5 linked regions of the Callithrix jacchus genome follow. The protein of the gene in region 4 interacts with the protein of the main gene of each other region in a biochemical or structural test. Links are inferred from orthologs where the notes say so. Each region holds a gene or a part of one and is shown on either strand. Other genes may lie near its edges.

Region 1 (3,940 bases), on a different chromosome or scaffold from region 4:
GCTGAGCCATGGTAAAGAAGCGCGACGCCATCCTGGAGGTGCTGGAGAACCTGACCCCGGAGGAGCTCAAGAAGTTCAAGATGAAGCTGGGGACCGTGCCGCTGTGCGAGGGCTTTCAGCGCATCCCGAGGGGAGTGCTCGGGCAGCTGGACATCGTGGACCTCACTGACAAGCTGGTCGCCTTCTACCGCGAGGACCAGGCAACCAAGCTCGTCGTGACCGTGCTGCTTGACATGGGCATGCAGGAGGAGGCGGAGCGGCTGCAGCGGGCCGCGTGAGGGCCACTCCGAGCTGGTGCGTGGTCTCGGGACCCAACTCTGCTTCCTCACCAAGGACCCAGGGATTGGGTCCCGCCCAGAGCCTTCCGGTCTTCCTCCTCCTTCAGGCTCCCTCCTGGGGTCCTCCCTCAGACCTCCAGCCAGCCCCTCCCGGTGGCGAAGGGCCGGCCTGCCGAGAGCCCCAGGGGGGCTGCATCCTGCCCCACAGCCCCTTTCTAGGCTGTTGGGCTGCCTGGGCCCTGTTCTGTTTCACGGGTTCTGTGCTCTCTTCGCAGATAAAGACGGACGAGTTTGGGAGTTCCAGGGCATAAGCACAGGTGAGCTGGGATGGGAAGGCTCCTGGGAGGAGGCTCCTGCCCTGAGCTAGGGGACCACCAGCCAGGACTGAGCAGAACTAGGCCAGGCAGGAGCTGGCGGGACTGAGAGGCTGGGCCCCTGGGAAGTATGGGGGCCTCGAATACCAACGAAAGGATGGTGGTTTACCCCCTCTAGGATACGGGCCAAGGGGAGGAGCAGTGCAACGCTGGTAAAGCCAGCCCCGCGCGCGCACCAGTGGCGGAAAACAATGGCAGAGTCTCAACCTCGGAGACCGAGGACGCCTCCGTGCCTCCAGATCTCGCCTCCTCCAGCCCTATACCTGGCGTTTATTCTTCCACTGCCCAATAAACATTCATGGAAGACTTTCCTGGGGCTGCGCGCGCACGTGTCCGCTAGTAGATACACGCGTGTGCTTTGACACACGTATTACACGCCCTAGCCGGTGTGCACGCGTCTCTATTTGCCTGTGTCTCGGTGTCTCTGCTGGGTATGTCCTGGCGCACACAACTGCGTGGGCTCCCGAGGCTTTCGGGACTTCCAGCTACACCCAGAAAAGCATCCTGGGTGGAGCTCTCGGTGCCCGCTGGGCCCGCGCCCACATGTGCAAAGGCCGGCGTACCTGGCCATCCTGCCTCCCTTCCGGTAAGGCCAGCCTGGAGCCCATCAGGCCTGCCCAAGTTCCGCAGCTTCAGGGGCGCGTGGGCCTCCGCTGAGGACATCAGGACAGCCCCGCCCCGGCCGCCTGGCTCCCTCCCGAACGCCGCTCCTCCCCCAGCGCCGCGCGGGGAGCCAGTCCGACCCGCCCACCGGGTGCAAGAATACCACTTGGGCCGCTGGCCAGTCCTCGCTCCGCCCGGCTCCGCCCCGCCCATCAGACCCGCCCCGGGGATCCGCCCACCCATCTCCCGGTCCCTCGAGGGGTTCAGGCCCGGAAACCTAGGTTTGCTCAGCGCCCTTCTGGCCAGGCTTCGTCCCCGCGCGGCTTTCCTCTACCAGCCCCGCATTCGGCTCCTCAGACCCTCCTTCCAGGCTGCTTCGCCCCGCCCCCGCTTCCCGCAACTGTAGGTGCTCGGTAGCCTCTCTAGCGGCTCAGAATCCAAGTCAGTGCAGCGACCTCCCCGTTGACCAGGCCCGGCGCCACCGAACAACCCCTCCGACCCCGATGAGCGTGGGTCCCGCACCTTGAGGCGCGCGTGGGCCTCCGCGGCGGGCAGGAGGCGGTGGCCGCGGTGCGAGCCGAGTGAGGCGCACACTCCGCACACCAGCGCTCGGTCCTGCTCGCAGTAGATGCTCAGCGGGTCCAGATGCTCCTCGCAGTGGCCCTGCGGCACCTGCCCCAGCCCCTCCACCAGGCGCGCCAGCTGCAGGTTGGTGCTGAGTGCCTGCGGCCGCGTGGGAGCCTGGCAGGAGGGGCAAAGAACGGTGCCATCGGCAGCCGGCTCCCCGGCCACGCGGCCCAGGCAGGCGCGACAAAAACTGTGGCCGCACTCAGCTGTCACGGGAGCGTCGAACAGCTGCAGGCACAGCGGGCAGGACAGCTCCTGATGCAGGAGGCCGGGCGCAGCCGACATGGCGGACCTGGGTGGATGAAAAGTCGGTTAGGGGGACCCCGCGGCGCCGCGCTCCCGGCCCAGCCCCAGCCCCAGCCTAAGGCCGGGCCCCGCCGCCCGGCAGGGAGAAGCACCAGCCTGTAAAGACCGCACATCCTACACTGGATGGGGCTCTGACGGCCCGGGTGAGACGAACTCGGTCTCAGGCCCAAAAGCAGCCTCCATGGCAATTCTCAGTACAGACCCAAAAATATACCCTATCCGTCAACCCCAGTTCCTGAACACAACCCCAGGGTCTAGCCCACTGTCCTTGCCCTCGCCTTAGCCCCAGGCCCCACCCTCTGACCTCAGCCCCTGCCCCAAATTCCCTAGAACCCCCATTCCGAGACTCCCCTCTCCCACTTTACCACGATCCCCAGCCCTCCCCGCCCCCGTCTCTCCAGTCCCCGGGACTCACAGGTCTGGTTGGAGATCTTAGGCCAAAAGAGACTCGAAGAAGGACCGGTCAGGGTCGGGCCTAGCTGGACCGGGGTCAGGGCTGTGTCCAAGGATCTGAGACAGGCAGCAGGCTCCAAGCAAGGACGGGGACTCACAGGGGCAGCTGGCAGTGGATACTCGGCGTGATGGGCACACAGTGCTCAGCGGAAGACCCTCCCAGACTAAGCCAGGCCCCTGGACTATATTTAGCTGCCCTGCCCAATCCCTCCCATCAGTTCTGGAAACCGTTCTAAAAGTAAGGGCTGAGTCGTCCCCGGGCACGTATCACATGCCAGGTCCACCTGTCTTGGCCCATCCACTGTCTGCTCCGCACCAGCCTGGAGCTAGAGCTCAGAGCCAGCAGGGAGACAGGGCCTCTCACACCATGGAAAAAAAACAGAAAATTGAGGGGAGGGTCTCCCCTTTCTCTCCCCACTCCCACCTTTACACTCTCCAGCTCCTTCCTCTTGCCCACAGCCCCTCTCCAGCGTGTGGTCCACTCATTCCCCAAGCTTATGGCTGACCAAGGCCACTCTGGCAGGATTACCCCACTTGCAGGAGGGCAGGACCTCACCCCACCCTGAAATGTTTTCCTCCTCCAGAGCTGAGGGGAGGGTCTTTTCCACATTGGTCTCTCCAGTACACCCAGAACAAGCCCTGGGACAAAGAAGGTCTCTCTAAATGCTTGGAGAATGACTGATAGAGAGATATTGAATAAGTGAATGAACGGAATCCAGCCTGCAGCCCAGAACTCAATTCGGCCCTGGTTCCTGTATGTGTACCTTTCAAATCTCAACTGAAATTTTATTTAAGTGGCGCTGGGATAACTGGCTAGCCACATGCAAGGGAATGAAACTGGACCCTACCTTTTACCACATACAAAAATTAACTCAACTGGCCTGATGAGGTGGCTCACGCCTGCAATCTCAGCACTTTGGGAGGCCAAGGCAGGCAGATCACAAAGTCAGGAGTTTGAGACCAGCTTGACCAAGATGGTGAAACCCCATCTCTACTAAAAATACAAAATTAGCCAGGTGTGGTGGCCCATCTAAAAATAAATAAATAAATAAAAGTTCACAATGCCTGCACACACAGTATCTACAAAAAATACTAAAAAAATTAGCCTAGTGTGGTGGTGCATGCCTGTGAGCTCAGCTATTCAGGAGGCTGACGTGGGAGGATTACCTCAACCTGGGAGGCGAAGGCTGAAGTGGGCTGAGACTGTACACTGCACTCCAGTCTGGGTGACAGAGTGAGACCCTGTCTCAAGAAAATAAATAAAGATAAAAAAGAAAAGTTGAAATTATTAAAAAAAAA
Region 2 (4,024 bases), on a different chromosome or scaffold from region 4:
CATGGGTTAAACTTATGGCTCTGCCATTCACTAAATCTGTGCCCTTTATTTATTTTTGAGAAGTAGTTTAGCTCTGTTGCCCAGGATGGAGTGCAGTGGTGCAATCTGGGCTCACTGCAACCTCTGCCTGTCCGGGTCAAGCAATTCTCCTACCTCAGCCTTCCGAGTAGCTGGGTCTACAGGTGTGCGCCACCAATCTCCACTAATCTTTTTATTTCTAGTAGAGACAGGATTTCACCAAATTTGCCAGGCTCGTCTTGAACTCCTGACCTCAAGTGATCCATTCTTCTCGGCCTCCCAAAGTGCTGGGATGGCGTGAGCCACCATACCTTGCCTGAGCAGTAGCACGATCTCGGCTCACTGCAGTCTCAACTTTCCAGGCTCGAGTAATCCTCACCTCAGACTCCGGAGTAGCTGGGACTACAGGTGCGCGCCACCACGCCCAGTCAATTTTTGTATTTTTTTTTGTAGAGATGGGATCTCACTATTTTTACCGGGCTGGTCACTAACTCCTGGGCTCAAGTGATTCGCCGGCCTCTGGGATTTCAGGCGTGCGCCATAGCGCTCAGCCCAAAGTATTTTTTTTTTTTTTTTAAGGCAGGGTCTCGCCCTGTCGCCCAGGCGGAAGTGCAGTGGTGTGATCACAACTCACTACAGCCCGGACTTCTCGGGCTCAAGTGATCCTCCCGCCGCAGCCTCCACGCCCGGTTAGTTTTTTTCTATTTTTTTGTAGAAAAGATGAGGCCTCGCTTTGTTGCCCAAGCTGTCCTCGAACTCCTGGGCTCAAGCGATCCTCCAGCCGCAGCCTCCCAAAATGTTGGGATGGTGGGCCTGAGCCACCGCGCCCGGCCTACTATCTTTATCTTACATAAATAAATAATGGAGGAAACTGAGGCTCGGAGACAGTAAGTAATTTCCCTAAGGTTCCATCCACAGCTAATGAGAGGAGCGGCGATTTGTGGAACGAAATGAATGAAATCGATGTGGCAGCGGGCCCGAAAGCGCCGGGTCGGTGAAGCCGCGTAGAGGCGGAGCGCACAGCTCACACCCGGTGGCCGCGGTTTTCAGGAGGAAACGTGGGTGCTTTGGTCACTGCGCGTGGCGCCTCCGCGGAGACCCCGCGCTGCCATTCTCGGCCGTCGCTCAGTTCTCGGCTGACGGGAAGCAGGAAGTGGCGGCGGGCGTCGCGAGCGGTGACATCACGGGGCGACGGCAGCGAAGGGCGGGGGCGGAGGAGGAGCGAGCCGGGCCGGGGGGCGGCTGCACAGTCTCCGGGATCCCCAGGCCTGGAGGGGGGTCTGTGCGCGGCCGGCTGGCTCTGTCCTGCGTCCGGTCCCGAGCGGGCCTCCCTCGGGCCAGCCCGATGTGACCGAGCCCAGCGGAGCCTGAGCAAGGAGCGGGTCCGTCGCGGAGCCGGAGGGCGGGAGGAACATGACATCGCGGAGGTGAGGAGCCCTGAGGGGCCCGGCTCGGGCCTCGGCCCGGCCCCCGCCGCGCTCTGTCAGCCCCGTCCGGAAGGGGGCGCCCCGGCCGGGCTTCGGACTGCCGTCCCGGATCGGGTTGGGGGCAGGTTCCCTCCTCGTCCCCTCGCCCTCCCGGGGCCGGAGGCCGACCCCACCGCGCCCCGACCCCTCGGGTTCCCATTCATTTCCTGCCTCCCCGAGTTCCGGCTGCGGCAGCCCGGGGGATGCCCGTCAGGCCCCGGGCAGGTAGAGCCGCCGAGGGAACCACGGGCGCCGGCGGACCGGCTCAGCGCCGCATTCCTGACCCATTGCCTCATGAGAATTGCCTCATGGTGATTCCGAAATAACTGCTCACTTGGGGAGGCTCCTTGGGACATGAGAGGGGAGTTGCGTGGGGCCGGACCCCCAGTGGTCTAGCCGTTTTGGGTCACTGTGCCACTTGCGTGCATTTGGGGACTACGCAGGACCCCTGAGGCTTTTACATGCCCCTTTGTGTCTTCTTTTTCTCCTACCCCTCACGTGCCAGAAATGGAAAAACTGACTGTATGTGCAGCCACTAGAAGTATTTCCTTCCTCTGCGATCTTCGCTTTGGGAGATGAAAAGGAAGGGAGCCACATTCTCGTTATTTAATCCTTCACTGCAACCTTAAAGTCAGGTCACTTTACTGGTACCCGTTTTATGGATGAGGAAACCGAGGCCCAGAAGTTACGTGCTGTAAATGACAAAATTTGAAACTAAGGAGGATTAGTGAGTTAATGAGATCCTTTGAAAGGTCAGGGTAAATATACTACTAATAGCTAACATTTGCTTAGTTCTGGCGGCCCTATCAGATGGCTGTTATCCTCATTGTAAAGATGAGTAGGCCGAGATTCAAAGGTTAAGCAAATTGCCTCACAGCAAGTAGGTGGTGGAGACAGAATCCCTACCTTTAATCAGTATGTTGCTTCTATTATTTTGTAACTATTTGTAAGCCTTAATTTTGTTGTCAAACAGTGGTGTGACCTGTTGTTTTCAGATAATGATCCTGTTATTTTGTGTGGTCACTGTATATACCACCACACTTAAGACCCATTATCTATTCTTTTCCATGGTTGTTCAATTATGGTCACTGTCATAGACATTTAAAAAGCGATTCAAGCTATTGGGGCTATTTGAATGAGACTTTTCAAAATATTAGGAATGCCTCCTCCAAACACACCTGCCATGTTATTCATACATGGATCTGAAGCTTAAAAAGGGGAGAAAAAAGAAAACTGAGAACTGGTTGGAAGTGAGTGACTTGGACAGGTCTGTTGGCAAGTGTTTACAGATCTGGGTAATATATAACTGCATTTCAACAGAACAGTGTGTAGCCTCAAATGTTCTAATTCTTTAGGGAGCTTTTAAATAAAACAGTTGTCTATTCTTTAATCTGTCAAATAGTCATTGAGCCTTTTGTTCCTGGTGTCTGCTCTTCCAGACAAGTAAGGATCTGCTGCTTTAGGAGACAAAAAGAAAGGGGGCTGGGGGTTGGGAAAAGGTCTGGGGAGTAATAGACCCTACATTGTCCAGTTTGTTGGTTTAGAAGCAGAGAAGTGTGGGCATAGTCAAAGCAGCAAGTAAATGGTAAAGATGACAGTTTGAAAATGGAGCAATGACTTCTCCCCTCCAGCCCTGATATTGTGTACCACCCAAAAAGCCAGATTATGAACATAATACATATAATTTTGAATGATTTATTTTTTTTGGATTGTGAATCTGTTTTATTTGTTAAGCAGCCTTAATAAGGTATAAATGACATATGATAAATTGCATATATTTAAATGTACAATTTCATCAGTTTTGGCATACATATACACTTGGGAAACCATCACCACAGTCAAGATAATGAACACATCTACCATCTCTCGTGATTTTGCCTCGTGTTCTTTATAATCCCTCCTTTGTTCTTAGGCTTTCTGTCACTATATATTAGTTTGCATTTCCTAGAATTTTATTTTTTAAAAATTTTAAAATTGTTAGAATAGAGATGGGGTCTTGCCGTGTTGCCCACGGCAGTCTCAAACTCCTTTGTTCAGGTGATCCTCTCACCTTGGCCTCCTGAAGTATTGGGATTATAGGTATGAGCCACCCTGCGCAGCCCTAGAATTTTATTTTATTATTATTGTTATTATGATGGTTTTTTTGAGATAGTGTCTCACTCTGCTGCCCAGGCTGGAGTGCAGTGGTGTGGTCACTGCAGCCTTGATTTCCTTGGCTCCCTCCCTCCTCAGCTTCCCAATTAGTGGGGCTACAGGTGTGTACCACCACACCTGGCTAATTTTTGTATTTTTTTTGTAGAGACAGGGTTTTGCCATGTTGGCCAGGCTGGTCTCAAACTCCTGTGCTCAAGCGATCCTCCTGCTTTGGCCTCCCAAAGTGCTGGGATTATAGGCATGAGACACTGTGCCCGGACTTCAAATTATTTTAACCTAGTATTAATTCATTCAACAAGTAGTTAATGAGCCAGGTAGGATAAAGCAATAAATAGGGATATATTGCTGTTTTCGTGGCTGAGAGAGAGCAAACAAACACATGACTA
Region 3 (3,510 bases), on a different chromosome or scaffold from region 4:
GGTCAATAGTAGGCTACTAGTAGGTAAGTTTCGTGGGAGTCAAGAGCTCTACTCAGATTTTTTATTTCAAGGGGCGTCATTCCCCCTAACCCCTGCATTGATCAGAGTCAGCGGCACTCAGGCTCCTGGGCTAGGTCTGGGCATTGCTCCCTGTTCCACACTCAACTTTGCCCTTTCCTCCCGTGGCGTTTGTCAAGTGCCAGGCCTCGGGGCTCCTGGGCCGGTGACTGACTCTGGCTTCTCCCCTCCAGTATGGAATGCTCCTTTACCAGAACTACCGAATCCCTCAGCAGAGGAAGGCCTTGCTGTCCCCATTCTCAACGCCAGTGGTAAGTAAAGCTAGGACCTTCAGAAGTCTAGTACCTTTTCAGCTGCTACATCACGTGTTAAGGATGCCTCATTTTACACGAGGTGGGCAAGAGAAGCTCCGGAGGGTGTCTGCGCATTTCAGGGAAGCCAGTGCATGGCACAGTGATGTGGGTTTTGTAGTCTCGACAGTGTAACTTCAAGGAGCGAATCCCTCTGCCATCCTTCTCCCGTCCCTGCATCTCCCCTCTGGGTTTTGTAAGGAGGTGGCTCTCTTTAAGTGCTCAAAAAAGGCAGCAAGAGCTTTTGGTCCTTGTGGGGCCCTGCCTTTCCTACCTCTGGCTTTTGTTCCTTAAGCCTTGGGACCCCTGGGAGCTGCTGACTATCACACTACAGTCATGCCCTGGTAAAACTTGAGAGATTGTCATCATTCCTCTTATGTTCTGGGCACTCTGCTTCTCAGAGGGGCAGAAGCACTTCATCATCTCAAAATACAGTCCTGAGGGTCCTTTAGTGTCTGCCCTGTGAGATGCCCAATGGTGCCACAGAAAGAGTCCACGAATTTCCCTGAGCCCCCATCCCCAGGGGAATGACTTTGGGGAGGCCTAGGCTCACCCCGGCTGTTGGCTGTTTGTTTCTTTGCTGTGTTGGAGTAAAGGTCAGGAGCCAGTGAAGGACCACACAGTCCAACCCTGGGCGTGCCTGGGGCACAGCAGCAGCCTTTAATGCTCAGGGAGGACTAGAATGTATCTCATCCTTCTTAAGAAAAACCAAAGAGGTTTCTGAATTTTCAGCCTGAACCAGTGAATTTCCCACCTGAAACTTGGGAAGATGAGGGGTGGAAAGTGGGCATTCCCTGCTTTCCTTTCCTGACTATCCTGATGACTGTCAGAAATTAAGCCAAGACTCCGCTTTGCCTTAATTTCCTGTGTTTAAAGAACCCGTGGCCTTTCCTTTCCAGCGCAGTGTCTCCGAGAACTCCCTTGTGGCGATGGACTTTTCTGGGCAAACAGGACGCGTGATAGAGAATCCGGCGGAGGCCCAGAGTGCAGCCCTGGAGGAGGGCCATGCCTGGAGGGTAAGGTCCTGGCCCTGGCCAACCCGGGGGGGGGGTGCCCTCGAGGTGGTAGCCTCACCATGTGGTCTTCTCTTCTCCCAGAGGAATGGCCCTGTGCGGGTTGGCAAGAGGGGTGGCATGTTGGGTGAAGGGCCTCTGAGTTTTCAGCTGCAGGAAGCAGTCGGCCCTTCTAGGCCCCTTCCTCGTTCCCAGCACCCAGCCTTCCCCCACTGCTCCCTGGTCCTGTGGGCTTTTGTGAAAGGGACAGGAGAGGACCAGGGCCCTCTGCCACCCTGGCTCCCGTGCAGAACTGTTCTGTTGATGAATTGGCAGTGGCTGTCTGTAGGGTGCACAGGCCCCGGGCCTGAGTGGAGCCAGCAGGCGTTCACATCGAGGTGTGCTATTAACAGCCTGCACCCCCACCTCTGAGGCTCAGGTTCTGAATCTCCAGATGGGAAGAATATCAGCTTCCAAGCTCCTGAGACTTAAAGGCCATGTGCAAAACAGGAGCCTGGAATCTGGCATTTTCTGTAATTCCCATCAGGGGATGGGAAAAGTAGGAAGTCCCAAGCATGGGGAGTCCAGAGCCCAGTGTTTTGAGAACTGCATGAATTTAGTAGAAAGGCTCAGTTGGGAGTGGTGGCTATATCTAAGCACTTTGGGAAGCCAAGATAGGTGGATCACACCTATAATCTAAGCACTTTGGGAAGCCAAGATAGGTGGATCACGAGGTCAGGAGTTTGAGACCAGCCTAGCCAATATAGTAAAACCCCATCTCTACTGAAAATACAAAAATTAGCTGGGCATGGTAGTGTGCACCTGTAGTCCCAGCTACTCAGGAGGCTGAGGCAGAAAAATCACTTGAACCCGGGAGGTGGAGGTTGCAGTGAGCTGAGATCATGCCATTGTACTCCAGCCTGGGCGATAGAGTAAGACTCCATCATGTGTTTCTCCTGAAATTTACCAGGATATTCATGGCGTTTTCATCATATGTCTTCAGTGTGAGAAATAAGCATCTCTACTTTGATACTGGGGCAGCTAGCAATATCTCAGGGTGTTATTAACAACTGGGAACCGTAAGCTCTTTGTTCTCAGGGGTCAGCGGAGGCTTCAGATGGGGCAAGGGCCCTTGTGAGCCCAGTCAGGCACCCTACCTAGTGCCCTGTCCTGAGCTTGGATGTATTGGGTGACTTGGTATGTCTGTTTGCTGTCCTCGGTGCTAATATGGAATTTCTTTTGCAGAAGCGAAGCACACGGATGAACATCCTAGGTAGCCAAAGTCCCCTCCACCCTTCTACCCTAAGTACAGGTAAACAGGGCACATTGCCTGATGTTTTTGTCCATTAAAAAGTCAGGCCGGGCGCGGTGGCTCACGCCTATAATCCTAGCACTTTGGGAGGCCAAGGTGGGTGGATCACCTGAGGTCAGGAGTTCAAGACCAGCCTGGCCATCATGGTGAAACCCCATCTTTAAAAAAAAAAAAAAAAGAAAGAAAGAAAATCAAACAGCACCCCCCTCCGCTCCCCCTGAGCCTTATGAATTTGCCTGTGCACAGAGTGTACCACACACGCTGTAGCTGGGGGAGTCGGGGGCTCTGCGTTGATCAGAGTTGGTTGTGCTGTCAGGGAAGCCATGCTGTGGAGGCACCGCCATCCACCCGGTCCTTGTCTGTTCCCTCCACAGTGATTCACAGGACACAGCACTGGTTTCACGGGAGGATCTCCAGGGAGGAATCCCACAGGATCATTAAACAGCAGGGGCTCGTGGACGGGTGAGGAACCACCACTGATAAGAGCTGTCGTCTGCTGAGGTTTTGTTGTGCTGGGGTCTGTTTTGTTGAATTCCTCAGACGTCCTTGGGTAGGCAGCAGTTTTGCCCTGATTTTAAAGAGGAGAAAAGGTAGGCCCAGAGGTATACGGGGTATGCAAAGCTTGCCCAGCTAGTAAGGGGCGGAAAGGGATCTCATCCGCATCTGCTCAGACTGTATCCAATTATCCTTCACCTCTAGATGAAATCTGAACAGGTGGAGAACACAAGTTAGTTGTTTTACCTTCATAAGATAGTGGGAAAATGGGGGAAAAAAATGCTTTGCCTACACTTTTTGATTTATGCACTATATGAAGTTGGTTTGCACAACAAATAGCCCC
Region 4 (4,251 bases):
GATTGTAATGCCAGCCCTGCTGCCTGCTGGCCCCAAGTGGAGTTTTCTCACTTGTGAAAAGAGACGATTAAACTGCACCTCGTGGGGTTTTGTGGTGAGGATTAACTGAGATTATATATGCAAAGCACACAGAACAGCACCTGCTGAGGCCTTGCTCTTATAATTCTTAGAAAGGTATTAAGCAGAGAATGAGGAACTCCTTACGAATAAAGGCACCCAGTACACCCAGGGATTCCACCACCTGGGCTCCAAATATTTGCCAAACACCTACTATGTGCCAGGCACTGTTCTGGGCTCTCGAAATGCAGAAGTGAACACTGACAACAACAGCAAACCGTAAACCCCTGCCCATAAGGAAGCCATAACTGTGCAAATAAATGGCAAATCCATTTACTGATCCTGAAAGCGCAGGCACAGATCCACAATTCATCACCAAAGCTGCAAGGAACAGAAGAGCAAGGAACCACACATAGGCACACACAGAATTTGGCATAGTTCTTTTTTTTTTTTTTCTGAGACGGAGACTCTGTTGCCCAGGCAGGAGTGTAGTGGCGCAATGTTGGCTCACTGTAACCTCCAACTCCCAGGCTGATTCTCCTGCCTCAGCCTCCAGAGTAGCTGGGATTACAGGTGCGCGTCACCATGCCCAGATAATTTTTGTATTTTCAGTAGAGATAGGATTTCACCATGTAGGCCAGGATGGTCTTGATTTCCTGACCTCATGATCTGCCTGCCTCGGTCTCCCAAAGTGCTGGGATTACAGGCACGAGCCACCATGCCTGGCCTGGCATAGTTCTAAACCACTCTTCTTGGATTTTCTTAACAAGAACCCAAACTAACTGCCACCCTTCATTGAGCACCTGCTGTCTGCCAGGCCCTGGGGTGGTGGTGGTGGGGCTTTTAGACATTATGTAATTGATAGAGTCAACTCCGCAAACCCGGTTGGTCCACTCCAGCACCTCTGATTTCACATCTACCCCGTTCTCCCTCAATACATTAAGGAGCTTCAGTTCCTTCCCTCTCCGACCCCTTCCTCATCACCACTGATTTCCTTTTATGGAGAAATCTGCAACAGTGACACAACAAATATTTTTAAAGCAGGGTCTCAGACCCTACAGTGGGAAACCCAGGCTATATTCTCTTAAATGATTACTCCATCTTCATTCTACAACCGCAAAGGCGTCTTCAAGGAAGATGCTGCTCCCACGTGGGAGAGCCGGTGGGGGTCAGGGGGAATGAAAGGCTCTTTCATGAAGGGCAGAGCTGAGGGGAGAGGAGGCGTTAAGGAAACAGCAGGTGAAGGACAGTAGTCCAGATTCTTGGGCAGAACAGGGAGCAGAGAGATTCAGGTCCTGGCTCTGGCACTGACTTTAGGGCAAGGGAGCTATGCGTTTTACCTGAGCCTCAGTTCACTCCTCTGTAAAATGGGTGCATAACTGTAACCGCTTCCCGGGGCCACTGTGACAGTCCAGAGAGATAAGATAGACCAGCGTGTGGCCTGTGGTGACACCAATTACAATAAACATGGCCAAAAAAAAAAAAAAAAAAAACACGCCACTACTTCTGCCACAATTGCTGCTGTTTCTAAGGCTTTAGAATGTGCCTCGGGACATCTGGAAACAGAACCCAAAAGGGAAACCATGGACCTAGAGTCCGGGGTGGCCACTGGCCTAGATCCAAGATATCGGGATGGAGCTGGGGGCGGGTTCTACAATCCCCGACCCCAGGCAGCGTCTCCCACCAGTGAGGCACTCAGGGCACTTGGCTCCATCTACACCTTATGCGCTCCGGGGATGGGCTGTCCGGAGCTGCCCAGACCGAGTGACCCCACTTCGCAGCCGCCACCCAGAGAGGACGCGTGTGTTGTCTCCAGAGCGACTTGGCCTCGGAGAGACCGGGGCTCTGGTCGCAGGGGCGATCCGGAGAGGCGCCCGCGGCGGGGCGGGCACTGGGGCAAGGTTCCTCGGGCTCAGGTCGGGCACGCGGGGCGCGGAGGCACGAGTCCGGGCGGGCAAAGGCCAAGGTCAGCGGCTTCCCGCCCCGCACGCGGAGCAGAAGCGACCGCCCGAGCCACCGACCCCAGCCCCCCGTCCTCGGAAGGGGTCTCAGTCCACCAGCGGGGTGGGGGGAGGAGGGCTCTCTTTTGTCTCGGGTTGGGGGGGTCCTCTCCCCATCGCCTTGCTCCCCGCCCACTCCTGCGCCCCCAGACTCACCCTCTCCAGGGTACATTTGGCCCGCGGCGCCCAAGAGCAGCGCGGCCACCGCCACCAGCAGCGGCGCGGCCGCCGCCCCCCGGCGGCTCCCGGCTCCCATGGCTGCGGGGAGCTCAGGGTCTCCTCGGATCAGAACGCGCGGTGCGGACCCGCGGGGGTCATGCCGCAAGGCGGCCGCCCGAGAGGCGCTGGGGGCCGCGTGTCCTTCTCTTCCACGCGGGCGATCCGCGGGCCGCAGCGCCCCTGCCCGAGATCTGGGGTCCTAGAGGCAGCCCCGGGAAGGGCGCGCGCGCGGCCTCGCCCGCTACAAAGAGAGCTGGGAGGCCCCGCGGTAGCTGCCCCGACCCCCCGGCCGCTGCGGGCCGGGCCCCGTCCCACGATCTCGAGGCCCGGAGCTCTGCGCTGCGCCCGGGACTGTCTCCTGGCTTTCGGCCCCGCGCACTCTGGGTCGCGATCGGCGGGCTCCGGGACAGAGGGACTCGCGGACCGAGGGACCCGCTGCAGGGCGGGCGGGCACCTGGGCGGGCGAGTGGCTGGTGGCGGGCGGCGGGAGTGAGGGCTGCTCGGGCCGTAAACAAGGCGACCCGTCAGCTGGGCCCCTTGCGGGCCGAGGGAAAAGGCGGCGCGGATCTGGCCTGGGAAGGGACTGTGCGCCCGGGAGAGGCCCGGGAAAGGGAGGGAAAGCGGGGGGCCGGGGAGGGAGGTGGCGCCCGGCCCCGCCCCGCCTCCCCGCCTCCCCGAGCCGGGCCCCTCGCTGGAGGCCCTGGGCGCGCCTGGACCGAGGGGCCGCCCCAGATCCGCGCGCTCTACACCGCCCGAGTCTCCTCCAGCCTCAGACGCCCCCAAAGGCGCCCCACAGGCCTGACCCAGCGACATAAATCCTTTCTCTACCATTTTGCTCTTTTGTTCGGAGTGGGGCTTTGGAGGATTTCTGTTAATAATTTTAAAATACTGCATTAAAATATTTACGTTGGTGACTCGAGGTGGGTTCGGTTTTTTGTTTGTTTTTGTTTTTTGTTTTGTATGTGTGGTGTATTTGTGGGGGATTAAATTTTGCACCTCAGGCGAGTAGTTGTTCACTCACCGCCTTTCCCTCATCCAGGCCTGGCCAGACACACTCGTCCCAGAGCGGGTGGACGCTCCCAGATGTCCCTCCCGCGCGTGCGCCCCCACCCAGAGGCAAGACCCAAGTCAGGCCCCTGGGGACAGCCACGTGCCTGCGTGTCCAGTGCGCTCCCTGTGTTCAAGTTGGAGAAAGACACCTGGGAAAATGTGCAGAAGCTTCTGAAAGGGGAAAGACGATGCAGGAGACCTCGAATAGAGGGTGGACATGTCTGATTATCAGCAGACCAGCCTGTGTGTGTCTGAACGTCTAGCAATGTCAGTCACGAACAAGGCGGGACAGCGGTTCCACCCACCATACTGAAGGAGAGGAAGGGGCTTTCAGTGTAGGAAAGCCAGAACTCAGTGGGAAAAGGGTTCCTCCACCCCTCACTCCTGTGTAGTCTTGGACCAGCTACTTCACTATGTCCGGGCCAGTCTTGCTTCAGTGATGGGTTTGATAATACCTGTACACCAGATCTGGGAAGGTACCCGAGGGAGAAAACTTAAGAATGCACACAGCACAACCGTAGACCCAAGGCATTCATTCTCTTTATTTTTATTTTTATTTTATTTGAGTCTTGCTCTATCGACCAGGCTGGAGCGCAGCGGCTTGATCTCTGCTCACTGCAACCCCCGCCTCCTGGGTTCAAGCAATTCTCCCGCCTTAGCCTCTCAAGTAGCTGGGACCACCAGGCATATACCACCACGCCCAGCTAATTTTTGTATTTTTAGTAGAGACCGGATTTCACCATGTTGACCAGGACGGTCTCAATCCCCTGGCCTTGTGATCTGCCCACCTCGGTCTCCCGAAGTGCTAGGATTACAGGCATGAGCCACGGCGCCTGGACCGTTCTTCCATTATTAAAGAAATAGTTTGTTCAGAGCTGGGCCCACTCTTCTTGCAAAAGGCCAAACTTCTGGCTTCATCGCTGCT
Region 5 (3,973 bases), on a different chromosome or scaffold from region 4:
GCCAGGTCAGGATGCCTGGAGTGGTGGACCCTCCAGGAACCCCGCCCCACGACAAAGCCCCGCCCCCACGAAGACACGCCCCTAGGAGGCCCCGCCCACGAGGAAGCACCGCCCCACCGACGCCACTCCCTGAAGACCCGCCCTACGGAGGCCCCGCACACGAGGAGGCGGGGCCGCACCCCACCGGCAGCCTCTAGACTAACAGCCGTTCCAGCTCCCTTCGCGTCACGTGCTTCTCCGCTCGGCCCTTGATGGCCGCCAGCAACTCCTCCCGTTACCTGGAAAAGGGGGTGAGGGGAGGTCCGGCCACGGGGACACTCGCCCCACGGATCCCTTTATCTCTTACCAGTCTACCAACGGTCCACGGCTTCCAGCCGCTCTCGGGGGCCCGCGCGCGCTCGTAGCACCTTTCGGTGGCATTCCAGGATGGCAGCCCAGCAAGCCGCTGGGGTCCCCACAGCCCCAGAGCGCGTGGGAGGCCGCCATGTTACGTGGAGGGGAGGGGTCGGCTCTCAGGGGCGGAGCCTCTGCGGAAGGGGCCGGCTGCTGGGGGCGGGACCTCTGCAAACGGAGTCGACCCCCCCCCGAGGGCGGGGCCGGCTGCCAGGGGCGGAACCTCTGCAGACGGGGCTGACTGATGGGGGCGTGGCCGGGTGCTGGGGGCGGGGCCTCCGCCGATGGGGGTGGCTGCGGGGGCGGGGCCTCTGCCGATGGGCCAGGTGCTGGGAGTGGGGGCGGGTGCCGGGGGCGGGACCGCCGCAGATGCGGCCTGTTGTTGGGGGCGGGGCGGGCTGCTGGGGGCGGGACCTCTGCAGATGGGGTCTTTACGGGTTGGGGCAGGGGCGGAATCCCACGTGGGCGGGACAGGCTTTTAGGGAAGCACGCCCTCAGCGAACCAAGGCTGAGGCACCTCACGGAGAAAACCGGATATATGGGACGGCCGCCACCGAGGCCAGTTCTGGAGAGGCCTCGGCGGGGCGGGGCGGGGCTGGCCTCCGCGAATGCCGACCCTGAAAAACGCGGGGCCAGGGAACCGGAGCGTTCCTCGCAGCCAGCTACGTCGCGGGCCGACTGTCCCCGCCCAGGCTGGTTGGGCGCACGCGCGGCCCTACCCGCCCCCCGACGCCTGCGTCCCCGCCGATCCCGCCCCCGGCCGGAAGTTCCGGCGGCGGAGCTGGGCCGGGCCCGAGCTGATCGTGGGCTCGGGCTGCAGGGCTCGGGCTCGGGCTTCGGGTGCAGGGCCGTCAGGCGCGGAGCTTGGGAGCGCAGCCCAGGCCGTGCCGCTCGGCGCCATGAAGGGCAAGGAGGAGAAGGAGGGCGGCGCGCGGCTGGGCGCTGGCGGCGGAAGCCCGGAGAAGAGCCCGAGCGCGCAGGAGCTCAAGGAACAGGGCAACCGTCTGTTTGTGGGCCGAAAGTACCCGGAGGCGGCGGCCTGCTACGGCCGCGCGATCGTGAGTGCGCCCGCGTGGGGAAGGCGGCGACGGCGAGTCGGAGGGCCACGCCCGCGATCGGCCGGCCCCGCCGAGGGTCTGGCTCCTCCGCGGCGGGTATCCTGGGCTCCGAAAGCCCAGCATTGGTTCTCGATCCCAGCGCCAGGTGCCGGGGAACGAGGGTGGGATGCTAGATGGAGGCCGGCCGGGTGGGTGGGAGGCCAGGGTCCAAAGCTGGGACTCTCCAAAGATTTGGAAAACTCTACAGAACCAACCGGAGTGAGGTGTGTAGGCTCAGCCAGTAGTCCCGTGTCTGCAGATCCTTGGACCCAGAGGCTTTGGCTACTGAGAGGTCTAGGTTCTTGATCGTAGCCAGATCGCAGAAGCTGGGACGGGCCCTGGGACAGAGGGGGCGCGCTGAGCCTACGCCTGATGCGGCTGGCCCGGCCTTGGTCCCTAGACCCGGAACCCGCTGGTGGCCGTGTATTATACCAACCGGGCCCTGTGCTACCTGAAGATGCAGCAGCATGAGCAGGCCCTGGCCGACTGCCGGCGCGCCCTGGAGCTGGACGGGCAGTCTGTGAAGGCGCACTTCTTCTTGGGGCAGTGCCAGCTGGAGATGGAGAGCTATGATGAGGCCATCGCCAATTTGCAGCGAGGTTGGCCGACAAGCTGCCTGGGTGCGGGGCCCCTGGGACCAGGCGGTTGGACTGGCCAGCGTGACCGGAAGCCCTTGTTCCCCAGCCTACAGCCTGGCCAAGGAGCAGCGACTGAACTTTGGGGACGACATCCCCAGCGCTCTGCGAATCGCGAAGAAGAAGCGCTGGAACAGCATCGAGGAGCGGCGCATCCACCAGGAGAGTGAGCTGCACTCCTACCTTTCGAGGCTCATTGCGGCGGAGCGTGAGAGGTGGGACCCTTACCCCAGGCCGCGCTGTCTGGGGATAATTCTGAATAACCAACCGCCAACACGAATGTTTACTGAAAGTTTTACTGGCGAGCAGTGCATGTGGGGAAGAAGCCTGGATGTTAGCCCTGAGTCTGGGGTGTGGTCAGACATCTTCTGGCCAGGTCCGTCTCTGACGGGCTCCTGGTCATCCCCCAGGGAGCTGAAAGAGTGCCAGCAGAACCACGAGGGTGACGAGGACGACAGTCACGTCCGGGCCCAGCAGGCCTGCATTGAGGCCAAGCACGTGAGGGTGCCCCCATCCACATGTGGGTCTGTGTGTGTGCACACGTGGCACGGGAGCGTCCCCACCCTGCTGTGGGTCTGTGTGTCCCTGCCTCGTGTTGGGTCTGGGTACCACGGAGGAGGGAAGTGGGGTGTCCCTCCCAAGCACTGCTCAACTTTCCACAGGACAGATACATGGCGGACATGGATGAGCTCTTCTCTCAGGTGGATGAGAAGAGGAAGGTGAGTGCTGCTGTGGGTGGTAGGTCCTGGAGCAGCCCCTTCCCAGCCTCTGACCCTGTGCCCATGTGCCACAGAAGCGCGACATCCCTGACTACCTGTGTGGCAAGATCAGCTTTGAGCTGATGCGGGAGCCGTGCATCACACCCAGTGGCATCACTTACGACCGCAAGGACATCGAGGAGCACCTGCAGGTGAGGCTGGGGCCAGGGGGTGGGCAGGGCCAGCAGCAGGGTCCTAGGCTTGCTGAGCAGCCTCTGCCTCTTGTCACTGCAGCGTGTAGGCCATTTTGACCCTGTGACCCGGAGCCCCCTGACGCAGGAACAGCTCATTCCCAACCTGGCTATGAAGGAGGTCATTGATGCATTCATCTCTGAGAACGGCTGGGTGGAGGACTACTGAGCTCCTCGCCCTGCCCAGTGTCCTGGCCCCGGAGGGCCACGGGCAGAAGCCCCCAGCCCCTGTACATAGCTTGTGTCCCTGGCCACCCTTTCCCTTCCCCCCAGTTCTGCTGTTGGGCTCTGGACGGCTCCCCTCTCAGCATAGCTCTTGCTGGGCTGTGATCCTCCCCGTCCCCCATTCTGGGCTGGAAAAGCAGGTGAGGGTGGGCTGGGCTGCGGCCACCGTCTGTGTAATAAAATCCGTGAGCACAAGCTGGGGAAGAAGTGCTCTGTGTGACAGGAGTGCCTGCCGGCTGCCACGGCTAGCCAAGGAAGGTAGAGATGAAGACGCTGGTGTCAAGGTTGAGTGTGGCGTGCCACCAGCGGTCGGGGAAGTACAGCACCTGGTGAAGGAAGGGGGTGCAGCCGAGATCAGCTGCGGGCCTCTGACCTGGCCCGGTCCCTCCTGCCAGCCACTGACCTCACCAGCCTGGATGGTACACTCCAGGGGCCGTGCAGACGGCGGCAGGGCTGGGTATGTGTCCCGGAGCCAGGCCAGCGTGGTCTTGTTGGGGTGGAACTCTGGCGTCTTCTCAGGTGGGTAGAGGAACCAGCGCTGTGGGCAGGGGCAGCAGCGTCACCCTTGCCCACTTGGGTCATCCACCCAAGCCCCGACACCCACCCTGGGCTGACCTTACGGCCGTAGATCACCTCCGAGTACCCAGGCCCGTGCCAGTGGAAGGGCACCCCCG

The links.
Region 1: the proteins of INSR (region 4) and TRIM72 form a complex in vitro, tested with the Homo sapiens proteins (2 studies listed by BioGRID). The link is inferred for Callithrix jacchus from reciprocal best matches to the Homo sapiens genes INSR and TRIM72.
Region 2: the proteins of INSR (region 4) and PTPN11 form a complex in vitro, tested with the Homo sapiens proteins (2 studies listed by BioGRID). The link is inferred for Callithrix jacchus from reciprocal best matches to the Homo sapiens genes INSR and PTPN11.
Region 3: the proteins of INSR (region 4) and GRB10 form a complex in vitro, tested with the Homo sapiens proteins (5 studies listed by BioGRID and IntAct). The link is inferred for Callithrix jacchus from reciprocal best matches to the Homo sapiens genes INSR and GRB10.
Region 5: the proteins of INSR (region 4) and STUB1 form a complex in vitro, tested with the Homo sapiens proteins (2 studies listed by BioGRID, with this or other methods). The link is inferred for Callithrix jacchus from reciprocal best matches to the Homo sapiens genes INSR and STUB1.

Annotation. Positions count from the first base shown.
Region 1 is NC_133513.1:30,733,521-30,737,460, reverse strand, and holds the start of TRIM72 (tripartite motif-containing protein 72), read right to left. Parts: upstream 2,802-3,940; 5' UTR 2,604-2,801; intron 2,175-2,603; 5' UTR 2,168-2,174; coding exon 1,778-2,167; intron 1,393-1,777; exon of another isoform or gene 1,261-1,392; coding exon of another isoform or gene 1,216-1,260; intron 969-1,215; exon of another isoform or gene 771-968; intron 596-770; exon of another isoform or gene 554-595; intron 295-553; exon of another isoform or gene 279-294; coding exon of another isoform or gene 9-278; exon of another isoform or gene 1-8. Other genes in the region: PYDC1 (pyrin domain-containing protein 1), read left to right, coding at 9-278. UniProt on the Homo sapiens protein: Muscle-specific E3 ubiquitin-protein ligase that plays a central role in cell membrane repair by nucleating the assembly of the repair machinery at injury sites.
Region 2 is NC_133510.1:115,365,475-115,369,498, forward strand, and holds the start of PTPN11 (tyrosine-protein phosphatase non-receptor type 11), read left to right. Parts: upstream 1-1,224; 5' UTR 1,225-1,431; coding exon 1,432-1,445; intron 1,446-4,024. UniProt on the Homo sapiens protein: Acts downstream of various receptor and cytoplasmic protein tyrosine kinases to participate in the signal transduction from the cell surface to the nucleus. Positively regulates MAPK signal transduction pathway. Dephosphorylates GAB1, ARHGAP35 and EGFR.
Region 3 is NC_133512.1:17,936,536-17,940,045, reverse strand, and holds part of GRB10 (growth factor receptor-bound protein 10), read left to right. Parts: intron 1-251; coding exon 252-329; intron 330-1,267; coding exon 1,268-1,384; intron 1,385-2,605; coding exon 2,606-2,672; intron 2,673-3,046; coding exon 3,047-3,134; intron 3,135-3,510.
Region 4 is NC_133523.1:6,881,276-6,885,526, forward strand, and holds the start of INSR (insulin receptor), read right to left. Parts: upstream 2,803-4,251; 5' UTR 2,314-2,802; coding exon 2,214-2,313; intron 1-2,213. UniProt on the Homo sapiens protein: Receptor tyrosine kinase which mediates the pleiotropic actions of insulin.
Region 5 is NC_133513.1:2,940,417-2,944,389, forward strand, and holds STUB1 (E3 ubiquitin-protein ligase CHIP), read left to right. Parts: upstream 1-1,170; 5' UTR 1,171-1,292; coding exon 1,293-1,451; exon of another isoform or gene 1,452-1,596; intron 1,597-1,890; coding exon 1,891-2,089; intron 2,090-2,174; coding exon 2,175-2,340; intron 2,341-2,407; exon of another isoform or gene 2,408-2,535; coding exon 2,536-2,623; exon of another isoform or gene 2,624-2,787; coding exon 2,788-2,844; exon of another isoform or gene 2,845-2,918; coding exon 2,919-3,035; exon of another isoform or gene 3,036-3,095; coding exon of another isoform or gene 3,096-3,117; coding exon 3,118-3,243; 3' UTR 3,244-3,494; downstream 3,495-3,973. Other genes in the region: JMJD8 (jmjC domain-containing protein 8), read right to left, coding at 3,545-3,625, 3,703-3,837, 3,915-3,973. UniProt on the Homo sapiens protein: E3 ubiquitin-protein ligase which targets misfolded chaperone substrates towards proteasomal degradation.